2 linked regions of the Caenorhabditis elegans genome follow. Changing the gene in region 2 together with the main gene of any one other region gives a genetic interaction. Each region holds a gene or a part of one and is shown on either strand. Other genes may lie near its edges. The genes, in order: R10H10.7 and unc-54.

Region 1 (3,927 bases), on a different chromosome or scaffold from region 2:
TGGATGATGGGCAACAAGTTGAAGAAGTTCAGAAACGCGAGTCTGAGATCTTTCAAAGTCTTGTGGAGGAACGTGAAAGACTTCAGCGAGAAGCTGAAATTATGGAAGATCGTCAGAATCCTGATTGGGAAGAACAAGAACGTAAAGCTCGTGAAGCTGAAAATGCTAAAAGAGAGTTGGCTCAAAAAGCGAGAGAGAAGCATCAACAAATGATACGAACCAGTGAAAGTATCTTACCAGCACTGAAAGATCACAAGGCAGGAAGCTTGAGAGAAGCTATGTATGTTTTCATTCATCCATATAATTTTTATATTAAAAAATTACAGCAAAAATTTGCCACGTCCACCAAAGCCAAAGTCCCGTGCAGCTATCATTGATTGGTTCCAACGAGAAGAACTTCCAAGAGGCACTGGACTGGATCCGAAAACGAGAGCTCCAGCTCCATGGTTCCATGGTATCATTTCAAGAGATCAATCTGAAGTTCTTTTGACGCATAAACCTACTGGATCATTTTTGGTCAGAGTATCTGAGCGAATATGGGGATATACAGTATCTTATGCTTCACGTGATGGTTCATTCAAACATTTTCTGGTTGAGAAGATTAAGGAAGGATATCAGTTTTTGGGAACCAATCAAGTCGTTCATGATGAGCTTTTTGATTTGGTCGCTTATCATGAGGTAACTTTTTTTTGAAACTTTCTCGGTTTTTTAAAGTTGGTGTAGTTAGTGTCGATGAGGATTTTACTTCAAAATAATTATAAAAGGCCGATATACTACTACGGAAAAACTAAAAAACTTGTTGAGTTAGAGAAAAAATTTTGCCGAATTTTCAATTTTGGATAATCTCCTCATTTGAATTGCCGCGCTTTAGACTCAAAACTCCGCCCAGTTTTCCGTGTCGCACTTCGACTTTTTTCAATTTGGACGCAAAACCTTCGTATTTCACTTAATTTTCAGATGAAAAATAGCAACTTTGAAAAATCCTGCCATTTTGTTGTAAAACTACAAAACATCAACTGTTTGTTGAATTCTGAAAGAAAATTTGAATGGTTTAGTAATGTAATATTTTTTACAAAACTATTCATACATTAAAATCTATCAAAAATTCTATGAAAAGCAGAGAAATGTTCAAATAAATTTTAAATTATTTCAGACTGCACCCATAACAGCTAAAGGCGCTGAAATACTGAAGTGGGCTGTTGGACAGCCAAGACAACCAGCCGATTACAATGAGTTGATTAATGTAACCATTCAACCAGTTAATTTATATGGAGGAAATTCTTATTCATCTCGTAGCATCGTTCGAACCATTCCAACGACGATTTTGAATGGTCCCGTTGGAAGATTTTAGATGATTGCGATGTTTTCGCTATATTATTATATATATGCCTGTTACTTTTTCCTACACATCTCACTCCTCTTTTCTCATTTACTAAGTCTTTCAGCCTTTTTTCATTTCCTTTCTCTTCTCAAAGATGACTGTCTGTTTTTGTCGTTGATATGGTTATTCGATGGTCGGAAAAATATTTTTCATGACTTGTAATAATCCCATGTGTTCAAACCTATCACACTCAAATGCTACAGGTTAAATTGTAAAGTACATTCTCAGGTAACTTATTCCAATTATCACCAAGCACCCTCACCCAACCGCATCCTTCCAATTTAACACACCCCGTGCCCTTTGTATCCGTCGATCTCACTTCCTTCATGTGTTGTATTGAATTGAAAAAAGTTTGAAGCAAGTGCGCCCTTTCGGATTCACTGAATTTTTGTTTTGAATATGTAATAGTTGTTTCAAAAGGAAATGATACGACTATTAGCTACTTTAAATTCGCATTTCTTTCTCTTTATCAATTCATTTCAACACTCGATCATCCGCTCACGCAGTTCATCAATAATTCAAGAACGGGTCCCTCTTGATCTATGTCTTGATTCAATTTGACCATTTTTAAAATCAGTTTTTATACGTTTCCACAAAATCTGTCCGTTTTTCTCCCTGTTTTTCTTTTTAATAAACTTTCGTTTTGAATGTTAAATAGAATTCTTTCAGAAACTAATTGTTAAATCTTCAATTAATTTATGGCGTATTTCCAAAATTGTCATCGACATAAAACTTTTGGAATCTTTAACTTTTCAGATGGAAATAATGAGTCGAGAAGAAGATGGACGGCTTTTTCAAACTGCCACCAACAGTATATCACTCATAATACAGTCAAAAAGAGATGGAACGAGAATTACAGATAAAATCGTGGACGAGATTGTGCTTGTTCTACAGAGTATGTAGGCAATTTTTGTCGGTGATTTTTCTATAGAGAGAATATTTAAATAAGCACCAAACATTTTATAAATACAAGGTCCTGACACGAAAAATTTTGTCAAATGCAAAAAAAGTCCTGTAATTCCAAACTCTCATTGCTGCGAAGATTTACAGTAATCTTTGAAATCGCACAACTTTTCGGATATATATGTGTATATAACAATAATATGATCGTGTCGAGACCCGTAATTTGACGCTAAAATCGCAAAATTTCGCTTCTGGGTTATATTTCGAATTCCGAAATTTATAATCGAAAAACAAATTATTTTTCAGTGGAAGAGATGAAATTCTCTCGGACGCAGCAACAAACTGCCGGAGCTGCGATCATCGTTTCATCGAAAGCTATTCTTCCAAAAATGACAACTCCCGAGAAGATTTCACTGATTCGAATGTTCAACCAAGGGCTTGAAATGATATCCACCTTTGATGAGGTTTTGTGAAGATTTGAACATAATTTAAAACTGTAATTTTTTTTCAGCTTCCAGGATTTCGTTGGTCAAATGTGCAGCCATTGTTCCACATGTATATGGATGCAATTCCTAGAGACTCACCTGGTGCCACGAAAGTTTTGAACTTTCTTCTCAAAATTTTCGATGTTCTTAAATCATCGCCCCACGTGAATGAAGGCAACTTTTAAAATTTGAAAATCGTCTTAATATTTGTTCTTTCAGATTTCTTCAGTTATCATTCAATTCTCACGTTAGGACGTCTCATTAACAAAACAATGGAAATTATCACAAATTCAACTTGTGACGTAGAACTTCGAAAATTGGCTCTAGAAGTTGTATCCCGGCTCATTCGACAATGTCCTCCATCAAAAGCACCCACGATTTCGTTGATAATTTCAGGTTTTTTGGGGAATCTCATGAAAACCATGAAAGGAGTTCAAGTTAATGCAGAGTTGATGGAGAATTCCATAAATGTGAGTTTTTTTGTAAATTGCCAAAGCATCGTATAAGAATATTTTCAGTTGTTCACCGATGCAGTTGTATTAGTATTCAGTGATAATGCCGAGAAATTCGACATATCAAAAATTAATCTGGAGCAATATCATCCGGAAATGCATAAAATGTTTGATAATCAAACTGTTGAATGGAGACAAAATGGAAGTGATATCATTTTCGAATACATGAGAAATTTACTCAGTTTCGGTTTTAATCATCGAGTATTCGACGTTAAAAAAGCCATGTGCCAGATGATAATAAAAATTCAAACGGAATGCGGACAGCTTTTTGGAAAAAGAAATTATAATCTTCTCATGAATCAATACTTTTATTTACGATATGATGATTATCCATAGTGAGTGAATTGTATCAAATTTCGAGAAAAAAGTTCAAATTTCAGCTTCCAAGAACTGGCAGAAAAGTGTATTTCTCTTGTAAATGATCGAGAAACCATTCGATTATTCTTCATGAAACAACTTTCTCAATATACTACCACACTCCCTGTTCTTTCACGAAATGGAGGCAAAAGTGATCAACATTTCAAAGCACTATGTGCAAGTTTGCGAGCTCTTGGAGAAAGTATCACTCTTATGTGCACAACAGGATCGGAGACAATCGAGCTGTTACTAAGAAGTCTGGCTGACACAATTGTAATTGAAAAAAGGA
Region 2 (3,927 bases):
GTTGGGTTTACATTTAAAAGAATATATCACAGAAAATCAAAGAACGTGTAATTTATCTTATCATCCCGGAAATTTCTTCCAACTGACCCTTGGCTTTTGTGTATCTCTTATTACAATCAAAAAACCTCGTCTCCTCCCGGTGGAACCCAGAAAATGCTGCTGGATGCTCCAAGCGCTCCCACATGCCTTCAAACTCCTAGGCGCCTGGAGATAGTGTTGCAATCAAGGAGAGCGCGAGACGAAGAATCAGTTGTTACTTTTGTCTGGGTCTCTAGGGGTTTCGTGATATTCCCGTGTTGTCTTACAGCATCCGCGAATTGTTTTCGTCAGGATGAAGTATGAGATTGTGGGATTTGGAGAGAAGCTGATTTGCTGGAGAAGCACAAAAATCTGAAGAAAATGTTTGAAGAAGATAAAGCAAACGGAAAGACTATCCAGTTACATACATACTATCATGAGAATGATTTATGAGCCTTTTCGTAAATTTTTAGACAGATACTATTATCAGGAGACCTTTTAAAGCAAACGCGACAACTTCATAGTAGTTACCAAGGCTCGAAAAATTGATTGGTGCAACTTGAAGTTCGAATGAGTAGAATTGATAAGTATTACAGGTGCCTCCAAATCGATTGTCCGCCACAATGATATACCTCGAATCCATCTGATCAAAATTATTACTGTAGCATTGAATCGCAGTACCGTAATCAAATATTAAATATTTTTGCCCCCCTCTCCTCTACGTATCAATAAAAATAGTCTTAAAACTTACTTCGACTCCAAAGTAGGTTAGTATCAATTTTGCAGACTTTATTTGTAATGCATTTCTAACAAGGAAATTTTTACATTTTACCCTCAAACTTCAAAATGAGACATGTTTCATCTGAAGTGTTTTAGATTATGTCACGAAAGGTATGTCACTGCAAAATTTTAAGCAGCAATACTTTTCTCTCAACCCCTAAAATATCGATCTGAAATTGTCTCATTTAACCACTACTTTAGAGACCTGCATAATTGCTCTAAATGCTTTTTTGCAAACTTTGAAAGTTTTTCAGGAAGTGTAGGTAAACACTCCGGGAGGTTTTTAAAGAATTGTGATTTTTTTGGAGAATTGGTCTAAAAATTTTTTTGATTTTTTTTTTGAAAGAATTGTTATAACAATTTTCTTGATTTTTTTGCAAAAAAAATTAAAGGAAAACTGCACTGAAACAATTTCAGATCAACAATTTTAGGGTTGATATTAGAGCTTTGCCGCTTAGAATACTGCAGTGAGTATTTTCGGTTTTCACTGGTCTCTGTAAAAAGAGTAATGCAAAGGCAAGTTAACTAGGTCGTAAATGTATTGATTTGCTTAAAATCTGAAGATCTAGTGGTGAACCGTGGAAGATTATCAAGAGGAGGCTGAAGATCTGTTTAAGAACCATTAATCAAACTGGTATTCTATTTTCACTGGTTGTATGTAAACATTCTATCTTATTCCTTTTATCACTGTTCTGCACTTTCCTATAAAAAAAGTTGACCGACCGTACTCTCTGAATTCATTTTTCCCGATCTTACCAACTCCCGATCTATCTCTATCCCTGGTTTTTTCTTCGTGCTCCAATGGAATTCTTGAGACTTCCACTATCTTCTCTGGCACCCTCCACTACGCGTAGGCGTCTCTCGCTTCGTGTATTCCCGGGAAGCCGGGTTCCCGTCTCTCCCGCCGCTGCCGCTGCCGCACACAGCTTTACACCTCGTAGAATCCCCAAAGAGGGGCGTGGCTTGCGGGTGCCAACATCCTCCTGCCGAGGAAGAAGCAGGCACTCATCACTCGCATCATCAACCTCGACTAAGGGAGCACCACATTAGTTTTGAGGTAGAGAAACCATTTGAAAGAAGCGAGAAATCATGGAGCACGAGAAGGACCCAGGATGGCAATATCTCCGCCGTACCAGAGAGCAGGTTTTGGAGGTGAGTATTTATTTTTTATTTATTTATTTTTCTTTCATTTGTCTTTATTGTTATGCTCATTTCTATAGAGTAAATCGTATAGTACTCCATAAGTATCTAATTTTAACAAAACTGAGCATTTATTTTTGAAATTCTAGATTTTTAACATACAACTGAGTTAAAGTCTGCCATTTTACACTTATAGATTTTTTAAATTCAGGTAGAAGATTTGAGCTTGCCTTGTAATCCTTGTAATCAATGTTTATTTCTGTTTTCTAATTTTTCATAGATTTAGCTTCAAGATCATCTTTCCCTTGAAATCATTGAAATCTTCCTTTCTTAAATTTTTGCATTGCACTTGGAATTTTGTGACACATTGTGCTGCAGTAGTACTGTATTTTGAGACGGCACATTTATTTTGACTACACCACAAGCTTAACCTTGATTTTACTTTTTGATTCCATTCCATTCATGGGTCTAAAGTGTGAAGCGGTTTAGACCATTTTTCAACACAAGTTGGTATTCTTTAGAAGTGATATATTTCTGAATTCTGATCTCTTTTGTACCATTATTGTAATTTCAGGATCAATCTAAGCCTTATGACTCCAAGAAGAACGTCTGGATCCCAGATCCAGAAGAGGGATACCTTGCCGGAGAAATCACCGCCACCAAGGGAGACCAGGTCACCATCGTCACCGCTCGCGGAAATGAGGTTCGTTTTTAAGCTAATGATTACGGTTTTCAATGTAGTGTGATTCAGGTCACCCTCAAGAAGGAGTTGGTTCAAGAAATGAATCCACCAAAGTTCGAGAAGACCGAAGACATGTCCAACTTGTCTTTCCTCAACGACGCCTCTGTCCTCCATAACTTGCGTTCCCGTTACGCTGCTATGCTCATCTACGTAAGTTTCATTGAAACTTAAAGTTAAGCATTGAGAATCATTCATATTCTTCTTCTAAATTCCCATAAAATCCCGAAACTCCTTCCCTCTATCTTCTTTTCTTCTCGTTTTCAAATGTTTCTCTCTATCCCATTCTCTCATCAATTGAGTGGGATGAGGCTATCTCTGCCTCTCTTCTGAATCTCTGAACCATCTTACATTACACTGTGGATGACGGGAGCCCCACAGGCTCCCTTGCATCAGATACTGCCATTGGGGATGGCAAAGAAGAGAGAAGGTATTGTGAGGATATATTTTTCTAAGAAAAAACGTTTGAAGAAAAGAAGATGAAGAAGATCTGCTTGATTCATTGCACAAGTTAGAAGTAACAGGGGTCTATATTTCGAAGAACTTAAAGGGAATGCAACTGAACATAAAATTAAACAAAGGGATTGAATCCTGCAGTATTTAAAAATCGAAACTAGAATGTTTCCTATTTCAGACCTACTCCGGACTTTTCTGCGTTGTCATCAACCCATACAAGCGTCTCCCAATCTACACCGACTCTTGCGCCCGTATGTTCATGGGAAAGAGAAAGACAGAAATGCCACCACATTTGTTCGCTGTCTCTGACGAAGCCTACCGTAACATGCTCCAAGACCACGAGAACCAGTCTATGCTCATTACCGGAGAATCTGGAGCCGGAAAGACTGAGAACACCAAGAAGGTTATTTGCTACTTCGCCGCTGTCGGTGCCTCCCAACAGGAAGGTGGAGCTGAAGTTGATCCAAATAAGAAGAAGGTCACCCTTGAGGACCAAATCGTCCAGACCAATCCAGTACTTGAAGCCTTCGGTAACGCCAAGACTGTCCGTAACAACAACTCATCCCGTTTCGGAAAGTTCATCCGTATCCACTTCAACAAGCACGGACGCCTCGCATCTTGCGATATCGAGCATTGTGAGTTACTTTTTGATTTATATTCTAGCATAGCTCAATAAAAATTATGCAACTATTGTTTTAAACTATAAATTTTGCAGACTTGCTCGAGAAATCTCGTGTCATCCGTCAAGCTCCAGGAGAGCGTTGCTACCACATCTTCTACCAAATCTACTCTGA

Evidence for each region.
Region 1: of unc-54 (region 2) and R10H10.7, changing one suppresses a phenotype caused by changing the other (phenotypic suppression), as found in Caenorhabditis elegans (one study listed by BioGRID).

Annotation. Positions count from the first base shown.
Region 1 is NC_003282.8:10,412,139-10,416,065, reverse strand, and holds the start of R10H10.7 (TTI1 C-terminal TPR domain-containing protein), read left to right. Parts: upstream 1-2,137; coding exon 2,138-2,276; intron 2,277-2,590; coding exon 2,591-2,748; intron 2,749-2,795; coding exon 2,796-2,943; intron 2,944-2,988; coding exon 2,989-3,239; intron 3,240-3,287; coding exon 3,288-3,616; intron 3,617-3,661; coding exon 3,662-3,927. Other genes in the region: F13B12.6 (SH2 domain-containing protein), read left to right, coding at 1-280, 327-678, 1,154-1,351.
Region 2 is NC_003279.8:14,861,411-14,865,337, reverse strand, and holds the start of unc-54 (Myosin-4), read left to right. Parts: upstream 1-1,855; 5' UTR 1,856-1,887; coding exon 1,888-1,950; intron 1,951-2,512; coding exon 2,513-2,641; intron 2,642-2,689; coding exon 2,690-2,830; intron 2,831-3,311; coding exon 3,312-3,768; intron 3,769-3,848; coding exon 3,849-3,927. UniProt on the Caenorhabditis elegans protein: Required for muscle contraction.